Caenorhabditis elegans: one gene and its partner. The protein of the gene in region 2 interacts with the protein of the main gene of each other region in a pairwise test. Each region holds a gene or a part of one and is shown on either strand. Other genes may lie near its edges.

Region 1 (4,458 bases), on a different chromosome or scaffold from region 2:
TGCAACTAGAAGAGAAGTTGTACATTGTTTTTATTCGAAATTAGGCAGAAATTAACCGGCAAATACCGAGGTATATTGCAGGGAGCTATAGTACACATAATAATATCAAATTGACATGATTTATGAGTAGGGAAGTTGATATCATAATTGGTTCAAGTATATCTACTACTACTGACAACTTCGACGAGCCCTGAAACATAAACAGGAAAAATTGGTACTAGATTGTGTAACATACAATTGATGCGTACCTCTTCGAAAATATTTTACCGTAGTCTGAATTTGTACGTGATAAGCTCTCGTCAAAAACAAGAAACTACATACATTGCTGCTCACAACGAAATGCGTTCAATTGAAATTTCTATTTGCCAACCGGGAGCCTCCAGACGGTTAAAACTGTCAAATGATGTGATTCCGTATGACTCATCAATGTCTGACCCAGAAATCCGGTCCTCTCGGAGTTTCTAGTTGTTTTCCACGTGTTCCACGTCACAATTGAATTCACATGGCAACCAGCTGCATTGCATTGGTAAAGTGACCATTAAATTCAATACGAAAAGTAAGCAAATACTTCAATTGTGTGAGTTTTAGTTGACCAACTTTTCATCAGGTTCATGAAGAATGTGAATGAAAAATGTTTTTATTCACTGTGAAGTAGGGGAGATCAAGAGATAAAGAACAGGCTAGATTTGGAGATACGAAAAGCGACAAACATGTGTTTTTATGTAAGCAGTCTTCTCCGAGCATCTTTTTATAGATGTTCGAAATACTTGAAGCGAAAAATTGCGCAACTTGAACTAAACAAGATAATCAGTGCGGTTGCTGCTATTTATGGATGATGATTGCTCGCGAGAGGGGGTCAGCAGGGACGACATTCCTACAAAGGGCATAAGGAGAATGAAAAAGTATGCGGGTAGAAGAAGAGAGCAAATGAGCATTGAGAGCATACTGTATTTAGTGATAAGCAGAGATTTTTGATATCTAAGCTAAGAGTGTCCGGAACATTTGGAAACTAGAAGCATTGGTCATGGAATTTTATTTAGAAAAATTGAAAAAGGAAGTCACACACATAATAAATTATGTGCATCTAAAACGTTAAAAAATCCAAGTATTGTACCGATTTTAATATTTCCAGGTACTGAAAGATTTTGAAAAATAAACAATTTTAGCAGCGTTTTTTGAATTGTCTTTGCTTTACATTGAAAGCTTATATCTCGGTTCTCTTTGGTTTTATCAAAAAATTGTCAACAAACCAAATGCGTGTAAAATGTTTATCTATATATCAATAGTAGAACATTTTTTGATATAACTCATGACAGTCGAGATATGAGTCGTCAAATTAGAGCAGTCGTGGTAAAAACTTTTAAAATCACAAATCAAGAAAGATAATTAAATTATTTTTCGCTGTGTGACCATTTTTATTTCAGCATGCGCTTCAAAAAACTACCAAGTTGCGTTATCATATTCTTTGGTTTACTCCGAAAATTTACTGGTAGCTATATAATTTACCAAAGCTGAACAAATAATCCACTCATTTGGTGAATAGTTCTAAAGTATACAAGCTTCAAGTCATACAGGTTATTTCAAAACTACAGTACCCTTCAAGGCTTTGAGGACCTCCGGTTTCCGAGTATGAATTATGAAATGTTTTTCGTCTAGTCCTCATTGTCTCAATCACTATCTCCAGGCAAAAAGATGAGATCTCTTGAGGGTACTGGACTCTCCCTCAATCCTCCGATTCAAGGAGTTGTTTCGAACGCTTAAGCACTCCTGGCTCCGCGCGGGGCGGAGTCGAAGTGTGCCGCGACCGACCGACCGCCGGCGCCTTCCTCCCCATTACCCCCACCCATCTCCCGCCGCTATATAAAAGGTACGCAGTGCCATCTGGACAGAATACAGAGCCTTCGAGTTCTAGTCCTTCTCCTTCTTTTACCCAACTCATTATTCCCCACATTTTTGTTTCAATGGCAGCCCGCAGAGCAGCTTCGATTCTTCTTATCGCCGTTCTGGCCCTCTCCAGTACCTTCGTCTTCGCTGACGAAGAGACTGTCAAGGTAAATTTCTTTTTTAAATACTACTTTTGTACTTTTGAACATTTATTTAAGCATTCAGTCATACTTTCCCTCTTTTATGCTCACTATTATTTTCGTGTTTTCTGTGTACCTAACCATTAGGACACGGCGCGGATGTGGGTATTGAATGCACAATGTGCATGAATAGGAATAATGAATAGGCTTTAGGAACAAGCTGGTTATGATCATGATCTTATTGATCATGCCCAATTGAAGCATAGCGTCTAGTACATCAGGATCCAAATTTCAGCAATCATTTGTTTAAATAACTTTTCAATTTTAACTATGATGCTTCCTTATGACTGTCTAGACTCTTATTTCATTTATTCCCGTCATTGGCCATTCCTTGAGACCTCACTAATACAAAGTGAAGTGGTCATTTCAAGGGGTCAGCTGGCTTCTTCTCCTGCTCTTTCCCCTCCGATAAAAACAGGAAAAATGATAGTGTAAACAAAGGGCGCATGAAGATTCTCTCCGCGATTGCCCCCCAGAGTGTGCGCGCAAAAATCTAAGCACACTGTCTTTCCTTACGGTCAAACAAAAGAGCCCTAAATAACTGCAGAACGAGACCGGATTGGCGTTGTCGCGTGCCAAGAGACAGTGCTGTTCATCCAACTCCAACTCATGCTGCGGAAACAACAACAACGTGCAATGCATCCCAGTTTGTCTGCAACAGTGCCAGAGCTCATGCCAAACATCCCAATGCATCCAACAATGTCAGCCAGCTTGTAACCAACAGTGCGGAGGAAACAACCAAGTCATCCTTCTTCCACAAACCAACAACTGCAACCAATGCCAACAACAATGCATCAGCTCCTGTGCCACCCCAATCTGTGCTCAATCCTGCAACAACCAATGCTCCAGCTCTTGCGGAAACTCTGCTCCACAAATTGTCGTTCTCCAACCACAACAGAACCAATGTGGATCATGCCAGTCTTCCTGCCAACAGACTTGCCCAACATGCAACTGCCAATCTGCTTGTGCTCCAGCCTGTGGAGGAAACAACAACAATCAGCAAATCATCGTTGTTCAACAGGACAACTCATGCTCATCCAACTGTAACAACCAGTGCTCCAGCTCCTGCAGCACCCCAATCTGCATTCAGTCCTGCCAATCCTCCTGCCAACAGGCCTGCCAGCCAACCTGCCAGCCACAATGCATGCCATCCTGCTCGTCTAGCTGCACATCCAACCAGGCTCCAATCGTCATCGTCGCTCAACAAGGAGACTCATGCTCCAACTCGTGCTCCAACCAGTGCCAGTCTGCCTGCCCAACTCCAATCTGTGTCCAACAGTGCAACTCTCAATGTCAATCCCAGTGCTCGAACTCTTGCTCCGGAAACAGCTGCAACCAACAACAGGTAATAATATTGATTTTCCATTAATTCATGAATCAATATTACAGGTCATTGTCCTCCAACAACAAGACAACTGCCAGAATCAATGTCAATCTTCCTGCATGAACACTTGCCAATCATCGGCTACCGTTCTTCAATGCCAGCCAATTTGCCAACAAACCTGCCAGAATACCTGTCAACAAGCCGCTCAAATCGTTGTTCCATGCCAATCGAGCTCTTCTGGATGTGGATGCTCATCTGGATATTCTCAATGCGGTGGATCATGCTGCCGTCGTCGTTAAGCATCCCCTTCCCTGAATTCTATGAACGAATTCTTACCGTATCCGCGTTTTCTATGCGACAACTTCTGTTTTCGTTTCCCCATCCCACTTCTCACATAACTTTTATTATGACATTGTCTGTAAATAAGTGGTAGCCATGTGAGGTGTCTAATTATTTTATTATTGTTCCCTTCTTTTTCATGATGTTTCATTGTCCTTGAGTTTCGACAATAAATTATTCTAATTTAAGAATTATACAAGAAATGTTTTCATTCGGCAAAACATAAAATAAAAAATCACATATATTCACAGTAATCAATCATCATATAATAAATTGTATTGTTTAGTCCTGTTTGAATAGTCCTCGAGCTGAGCGACGAAGGGTTGAGCGACGCTGAAAAAAAAATTTAAAAAGAAGAAAAACAAATGTATCCAAATTAACAGTTTTTCTAAATTTATTATTGATTTTATTCCGAATTTTGCAAATATAAACGAAGTTACTGAAACAAATTCGAATTTTCGACAGAAGTTTCAAAATTTTCGCGTTTTTTATTCATTGGTTTCTCTTGATTTTTTCCTTGATCTTTTTTAATTGTCACCCAAAAAAAAGTCGTCGAAATTTCAAAATTAGCCTAGAAATGAGTAATGTAGCATTAGTTTCAACTCTTTTTTTTCGGAAAACTTTCTGAAAAAATGACAAAGTATCGAATCAAACACTAAAGAATTTTTCAATTAATGAATGAAAATTCCATAATTCGATAGAAAATTAAAA
Region 2 (7,932 bases):
GAGTACTTGAACTAATGTTTTGAATTTGATCTAGTTATACGGAAAAATTTGAAAAAGTAAACATAAGTTTAGTTCCCGCCGAATTAGGTAGTATGTATTTTTTAATAATTGAAATTCGAATAATTTATTTTTTTTCTTGACAATTATCTCTTTTCATATAATTTTCAAAACCGTCGTGTACTCATCGTGAGCAATATTGCTTGTTCTTCGACCTCTTACTTTGAACTCGATGGTTCCTTCAGGTATTCCGAGGCCTTCAGGTTCCTACTATTTTGCTCTTTTCCTTCTTCTTCTTCTTCATCTAACATAAGAGAGCTTTGGTCTTACACGCCTGCTGCTACCCTCTCCTCCTTCTTCTGCAACAACAACAAACCCACCGTGGTCACATGTGAATTTCGCCGAGTTTCACGCTCTTTTTCCCCCTTTTCTTTTTCGGCTTTTGCTGCAAAAATAGAACGAGTGAATAATACCCAGAAAAAAGCGAGTGCTTTGTTGTTGTCAAGGTAAACACAAAAAATATATGAAAAATGTTCAAAAAATATTCGTTTTGACATTCTCTTCTCCCACTTAAGTCGCTTGATTCAATGTGACGGGGAGGCTTGAGGCAGGAGGAAAAGTATAAATTCACCTGAAATAACGAATGGTGACATGTTTTTGAATAAGAAGAAGGAAAGGATGACGTTGAGTGGTACTTTCTATTTTCGTACGTTTTACAGAAAACTTATTGAAACTTAGCGCCCGACATCTAGCCCAAACTTGGACGAACACCTAAGCCTAAGCCCAAGCCTAAATCTCATTTTAGACTTTTAGCCGAGCCCACGCCTACTCCAATTCCGTTCTGCTGAAAAAAACATACGTTTTCCTGGTACCACGCACGAAATATAATCCTGAGAAACTTTTTTTGGTTACATTACATGTGTATAGCACATTATTTAATTTTTCCTCGAATTGCTAGTGTATTTTGGGAACCGAAATATGGAAAGTCCAGTTAGTCCGAACTTCGCCCATTTCCTATAAGGTGCAGGTGTTCATCGATACTATATTTTTCTCAAAGTTCCCGTTCTATAGACCCCGGAAGATCCCGCCTTCATTCTGTTTGGGCCCCGCCCAACTTTAGCCCCCTCCGATGAGAAAAAGAGCACAAGAGGACAGCGAGCCCCTCTTGTAAGGTTCTTGTAGGTCAGATTGTCACGTCATTTGATTTTTTGTTGTTGTTTATTAGAGAACATTGAATGAAAACCTTTTTTTATTTGAAACAAAAAGTAGAGAGTAGAGTTTGTAAAAGTGATAAGAGTGTACCAATCTTTGCTGTTTCCTCGTTCTTTTTCTCTTTTCTCTCTTCATTTCTGATGTGTGCTTCTCACTTCATTTTTTTTGCAAACTTTTTGTGCTTCCTTAACACTTTTCACATCTTTCGTTTGATGGAGATTGTGCAATTTATTCCTATTTTTACGGAATTTTTGAAAAATTTGGTTGACATTTTTTAGTTGAAAGTTTTGAACTCTCATGGTGCATCGAAGTAAAATTCAAACATTTTATTTTAAAAAAATGAAAAGTTTTTTGTTAAAAAAATTGGAAATTTCGAATGTCGAAATTCGAAATTTTTTTATCCGAAATTTCGATTGCTTTTATTTGAAATTAAGAAATTTAATTTTCATCAAAACTAAATTTTTAAAATTTTAGCTGGAAATTTTAGCAAAGCTGGCAATTTTATTTAATTTTATCGAAATTTTCGAATTTTCGAATTTTTGAAATTTTATTTATTTTTTCTCAAGTTGAATTTGTTGACCTATTTTTTTTATTTAAATAAGTTTGCATCTATTTTTCTCAATAAAACATTTGATCTTAATTATTTATTTATTTTACTCCTCAACTTTAAAAAAAACGTTACAATAATTCAACTACCTTCAATTTTCAGATGAATCAGAAAGGGACAGTACGTCTCAAGGCACTTGTGCTCATTTGCCTTCCACTCTTTTTAATTGCCACACCGGTTCCTGTTGCAGTCACGGAAGACGATCGTCAGGACCGAATCGAATCGGAAGCCGCCGAGAAAGAGGTGAGCATTTTTTGAGAAAATGTGTTTTTGTCGTAAACTTCTTTATTTTATTCTATCTCCTTGGTTTAACCATCTTTCAGTGGGCTAACACCCTAGTCAGCAAAGTAGCACAGTCAAATGGAACTGGCACTATTAAGGTCTCGGCACCAGCGAAGCCCACGTTAAGGAGAATGGACAATGAGGAGGATGAAGTGATTTCGATTGAATGTGTAGTAAGTTTTTGGATCAATTTGATGGAATTTAGGCTCATTAGATAGTGTTGACGTTTTGGGGATCAGAAATCAGTGACTCTCCCGTTTGTTTAAAAATTACTGGATCAAATACACTTTAATTCCAGTGAGCCCTGTTCCCCTTGTAGAGGTCGCAGAGCCAATCCACCCACATTCCACTGATCCTTGTTTCAATTAACTATAGTTACTTTAAAGTACCAAGATATTCTAAAAGGGATAAGTTCAAACCCGCAAGCTACAATAACTACAACTCCTTTTGTTTTTCAAGTGTTATCACTATTCCATAATTATAGGCTCTCTTCCCCAAAATTAAAGCAGTAGTAAAAACGTTAAACTTTAAAATTTTGCAGTACTACGACGAGATGGAATGCGAAAAGAGTGGCGATTGTGAAATCACAAAGAAGACGTGTTACAGTGAAGCTCATCTGAAAGCCGTCGGATGCTTGGCCGTATTTGGGCTGCCCACGCAAGAGGTTAGTGTGGAAGAGGTTTTTGGCGGCCACCCCCAGACCGAACTGTGTCACATGACGGGGGCCCTTTATATATATTGTTTCATTTGTTATTCATGAGTGACATCTTCTTCCTCTTCATCCGCGGAAGTATTTGTATCTTTTGCATTTTTTTTTCCATTCTGGCTTATGACTTTGTCAGCTGGAACAAATTGGGGTGACATGACTCGTGATTTTTGATAGTTTTGTAGGATGGAATTTGAATATCAAAATTAAAATCAGAATTGCATTAGTTTTATCGAAAACAAATACATATGAGCAAGGTTTTGGCCTTTTTGAAGACGACTTTGAAAATTTACTGAGCGACATAGGATTTAAACGTGGAACTTGATTCAAATTGAAAAAAATACTGCGGAAAAAGTTAATGATCAAGGCTTTATTATTCCTTTGCTACAAAGCTCTTCAAACCAAACTTAAAAGTTGTTGAGTTTATCAATCCAATTTTGATCGAATCCATTAAAAATGTGCAAACCAACTAATCCGGATTTAGCTGCCCATGTTTCAAAAGATGATTAATTGAGTAAAGGGGATAATAATAGATATATGCATCCATATTATAAACATCAAAAATCTTAAAATTTCCAGATAAACTCTACAGAACCATACCTGAAAGTTGATAAACCGCAATACAAAAGTCTGGGATGTATGCCGTATCAGCACGCGGACTCGATGAACTGCGAGAACGAAAGCTCCGTAAGTTATATTTCAGCATTCGGAGCACCTCATAAAACTGGAATTTCAGTGTCGCCAAGGACGATCATTTCGCGGCGGAATTGGAATGTGCTGCTGTTCGACCAACAATTGCAACATGCCGGATCTCATCGAGATGGTCAACCCGTCATTGAAGAAGGGTCAGTGAGCACATTATATTAAGAGAGCACTATATCCCATGTTTAACCCCATTCTTAGTATACTAGAGCAACACGCAATGATTCTGTTTTTGTGAATATACATATATATCACCTCCTTCTTTTTACCTTTTTTACCTTCTTTCTGTCCCACTTTCTGTTTAAATAACCTTCTTTCGGGTGAGCGTTGGGGCTAGAGGCTAGGGAGAAATTGTTGGCATTGAAATGAGAGGTTTTCTGTGAAACATTTAGCTTTAAGTTAGCAGAATTTTCACGAAAGTTGAACAACCACGCGTGTCTGTGCCTAGTTATTTTTTCGAAATACGGTTCATCATACGGAGGTTGCCTCCCATCAACTAAAATACGACAGAGTTGGAGCACATTCGAGAAAATTCCCAGGAAGTTAGACAAAAATGTGGCAAACTAACGACGAGTGTAGGGAGATAGTGGACGGAAGTTGGCAAACGTTGCGAGCAAATGAGAAGCACCAAATTGCAATATGTCCTAATGTAGAAGCGTTCAGGCGAAAGTTCGAGAGAGTTTGGCGATGTTTGGTTTGAGCTCGGCCACAGTAATAGGGAAAGTGACGCGAAGTGTGATCAATCTGAGTCAAGCTTTCGACAAGTGAAAGACGAGAGTAGGAGTTGAGGAGCGGGCCAGATGGAAGACGGAAGCTGCGACGAATCTTCAACTAATTTATGAGCGTTGAAAAAAAAAGTTGGAGAGAGGTTATGGGGTTATTCAAGTAGTGTCGGAAAATTAAAAAGTGTAGAAAAATTACGTCACAACCTTATTCAAGTAGATAAAAACATGTATTTAAATACATTTGTGACGTCACAAATGTATTTAAATGCATTTTGCTACATTACTTGAATAACCCCATTAGAAAATTTTGAATGGTCTCTACGGATCTCAGCAAACGTTCGTCCAAACTGCGACAACCTTATGACGCGTTTATGATAAAATTTGAAGTTGAGACAATGAGAGAGAAGGATAACCGAGCAGAGGTTGAGAAGAAAGCTCGAGAGAGCTTGGCAAACATTGAAAGATAGTTCAGCTAGCCCTGAGACAATATTTTGCGCCAAAGCTGAACAAATTTCCGGTGGAAGTCAATCGGAAATTAAGAAAAATATGGAGAACTTCCCATTACTTTAGCTATACTCCTCCCAACCTTTCCCCGTGTACCCTCAACCTGAAAGAATCCACCTCTGTAAAAGCCTGCAGTTGTCATAAACCTTGTTCCCAATTTCTCTTCCCTTTCCTAATTTTCTCCGAAAAAAATGCACGTGGACCTCTCCAGATTGTCTCCTAATTTTCTCTTACCCCTCACACATACACACACACACCATTCATGCAATTTTATGTTTGTTCTTGTGGCTTTGCAAGTAAACCACTTTTTTATTTCAACTTTCTTTTGTTCTTTCTGTTTCTAGAGGCGATTCGCAACGACACTCTGCTGTTATTTGGCTCCTCCCCTCCAGTGAGCGGAGTGTCGTTGCAAAGTGAAACAAACGCTTTTTCGTAATAATTTGCACCCGTGGAAGATGCCTGTACACACACACACACATACAAATAAAAACATGTACACATTTTGAAATCACCTATTTAGAGCCGATAAAATTTCAGATTCGGATAATTCTGCACTTCTGTGGGCTTCAACTCCATCCAACATGGATTTGGAATCTCTAGGTACTGTCTGCATCTACGTCTCGGGGCTAGCTGGGTACTAACTAGGTGCTAAACACCCTCTACCACACATCCCCCACTCTTGTCAGTTTCTCAATGGAGCGAATTTGCAGACAAGTTCCCATTCTACTGGATCATCATAATCGCACTGTCAGTGATCCTTTGTATTGCACTCTTGATCTTGGCATACGTTGGTTGGAAATTTCAGCAGAATAAGAAGGAGGAGATAAAAAAGCAGCAGAAAATTAAATTTGACATGGCGAGTTTTGTCTTTTTTGAAATCGAATCAATTTTCGAAATTTTCAGGAAAAAACTGACGCACTGGAAGCTGGAAATGTGCCTCTCGTGGAGCCGGAAGAGGAAATGATTGAAATGGTGGAGACACCAAAGGAGCTGCCGATCACTGATTTTCAGGTATGTAGGTACCGCAAGAGTCGTGCTTGATATTTTATATTGAAACATGCTCTCTAAATCTAGAATACAACATTTGAATTTTGAAAAAAAAACCATATTGGTGAAACTTTTCAGCTTTACATGAATTTTTTAAAAATTATCAAAAACAATTGTTAACATAACTTAAAAACAACGAACAATTCTGAAAACATTTGAATTTATGGTTTTTTAACAGTGTCGGGGAACGTTTTCATTTGGCATTGGAGCGCATTTGCACTTTGATTTCAAAATTCACATATTTCGCGTCTTCATAATAGTTCGTCTTTTTGATATTTTGCTCGGAAGTTCGACCTCACGGTGTAAACTTTTGATGTCCACTACTTTGTGAACTCTGAGCTTTTCCTTACTTTTTCTTTATCTTTGAGAAAAAATGTTGAAAACAACAGAAGGCTCTTTTCATGAGCTGATTGACGTCACACTTACACTCAATGACATTTGTTCGTTTATTGCAGTTAATCTCAAAGGGACGTTTTGGAAAAGTTTTCAAGGCGCAATACACCCCAGACAGTGGTGAGAAACGATTGGTTGCGGTGAAGAAATTGAACGAATTCCAAAAAGCGAGCTTTTTGGCGGAGAAAAGAATCTTTGATGAGCTTAACGAGTACCCGAAGTGGTATAAAAGTATCGTCGAATTTGTGTGCGCCGAGAAAATTGGTGATGAGTATTGGATTGTGACCGAATTTCATGAGCGACTTAGTCTCTATGAGTTACTCAAGAATAATGTAATTAGTATTACATCTGCCAATCGAATTATTATGTCAATGATCGATGGGCTTCAATTCTTGCATGACGACAGGCCGTACTTCTTTGGACACCCAAAGAAGCCAATTATTCACAGGTTAGTGGAAAATGAAAATAATTAGAAAATTTTTAATGGATCTGACTTGTGATCGCCCTCCAACTAGTTTTAATGCTCAGAACTTTACTCTAGGTTGGTCCTAGAAAAAATCGGAAGAAGTTGCTAAGTTGCGCTTGAGCAGCCGACATTTTCAGGATCAATTAATAGTAGCGTGGACCTACAAGTTGTCGGCTGCAATTTCCAGTAAATATTTTTTGAAATACACACGATAGAGTCCAAAATGATAGGGTAAAATATTGAAAAAAAAAAACCAATTTTTAGGCGCATGACAATTTTCAGTTGAAGTTTCGAAAAGTTAGGGTTTAGAAAAAAAATAAAAATTCAAACAATTTTGTACATTGGAACACCTAAAGTATCTAGAGTTAATTAGAACATAATCAGAATATAAATTTCGCGGGAAAATTGTGTACAAAGTGTTATTATGATATTCGGTTTACTATCGGAGAGATTCTAACCAATGCTCCCAGTAACACTACGTTACCTTTTAAGAGCAGGTAGCGAGTTTCAACGACGCACGACGCTGGTTAGTGTATGCTCCAAACTGTTTCTAATGTCTGTACTTATTCAATTCAATAACCAATTTTTTGCAGAGATATCAAGTCGAAGAACATTCTTGTGAAAAGCGACATGACCACATGCATCGCGGACTTTGGCCTCGCCCGAATCTACAGCTATGACATTGAGCAAAGCGATTTGCTGGGTCAAGTGGGAACGAAACGCTACATGTCACCAGAGATGCTCGAAGGAGCAACCGAATTCACGCCAACTGCTTTCAAAGCGATGGACGTTTATTCGATGGGACTCGTCATGTGGGAAGTCATATCCCGTACCAAGTTGCACCAAACCGACGAGCCACCAAACTACCAAATGCCGTTTCAAGTCATCGGATTTGATCCCACAATTGGTCTCATGAGAAATTATGTGGTGAGCAAGAAGGAACGACCACAATGGAGAGATGAGATTATTAAACATGAATATATGAGTCTGCTAAAAAAGGTTACGGAAGAGATGTGGGATCCCGAAGCGTGTGCACGGATTACAGCTGGATGTGCGTTCGCGAGGGTATGGAATCATATTATGAGCTCACCGGACAGTTCGGAGGGGTATCACAGTGGAAGTAGTATGAAGAATCGGGGTGTTGATGATGTTGAACAAAGTGAGAAGCCGGAGGGTATCGAAGAAATGCAACATTATCATGCGTCGTCACCCAGCAAGAGACAACATCCTAGTCCGAATCCGTTTTTTGATTCGTGTCCACCACCTCCGCCGATTCCTGTGATCCTTGAAA

The links. The genes of interacting proteins can lie anywhere in the genome.
Region 1: the proteins of daf-4 (region 2) and abu-14 interact in a two-hybrid assay, tested with the Caenorhabditis elegans proteins (one study listed by BioGRID).

The regions. Positions count from the first base shown.
Region 1 is NC_003280.10:9,224,661-9,229,118, reverse strand, and holds abu-14 (Activated in Blocked Unfolded protein response), read left to right. Parts: upstream 1-1,904; 5' UTR 1,905-1,961; coding exon 1,962-2,051; intron 2,052-2,631; coding exon 2,632-3,429; intron 3,430-3,473; coding exon 3,474-3,707; 3' UTR 3,708-3,933; downstream 3,934-4,458. Other genes in the region: ZK1067.3 (uncharacterized protein), read right to left, coding at 4,030-4,080.
Region 2 is NC_003281.10:5,623,224-5,631,155, forward strand, and holds the start of daf-4 (Cell surface receptor daf-4), read left to right. Parts: upstream 1-1,918; coding exon 1,919-2,059; intron 2,060-2,139; coding exon 2,140-2,271; intron 2,272-2,639; coding exon 2,640-2,762; intron 2,763-3,383; coding exon 3,384-3,491; intron 3,492-3,540; coding exon 3,541-3,649; intron 3,650-3,720; exon of another isoform or gene 3,721-4,983; intron 4,984-5,272; coding exon 5,273-5,335; intron 5,336-5,445; coding exon 5,446-5,591; intron 5,592-5,638; coding exon 5,639-5,746; intron 5,747-6,237; coding exon 6,238-6,623; coding exon of another isoform or gene 6,624-6,648; exon of another isoform or gene 6,649-6,875; intron 6,876-7,234; coding exon 7,235-7,932. UniProt on the Caenorhabditis elegans protein: Involved in a TGF-beta pathway. May be a receptor for TGF-beta-like ligand daf-7. Controls the decision of whether or not larvae enter a developmentally arrested state, known as dauer, in response to environmental conditions.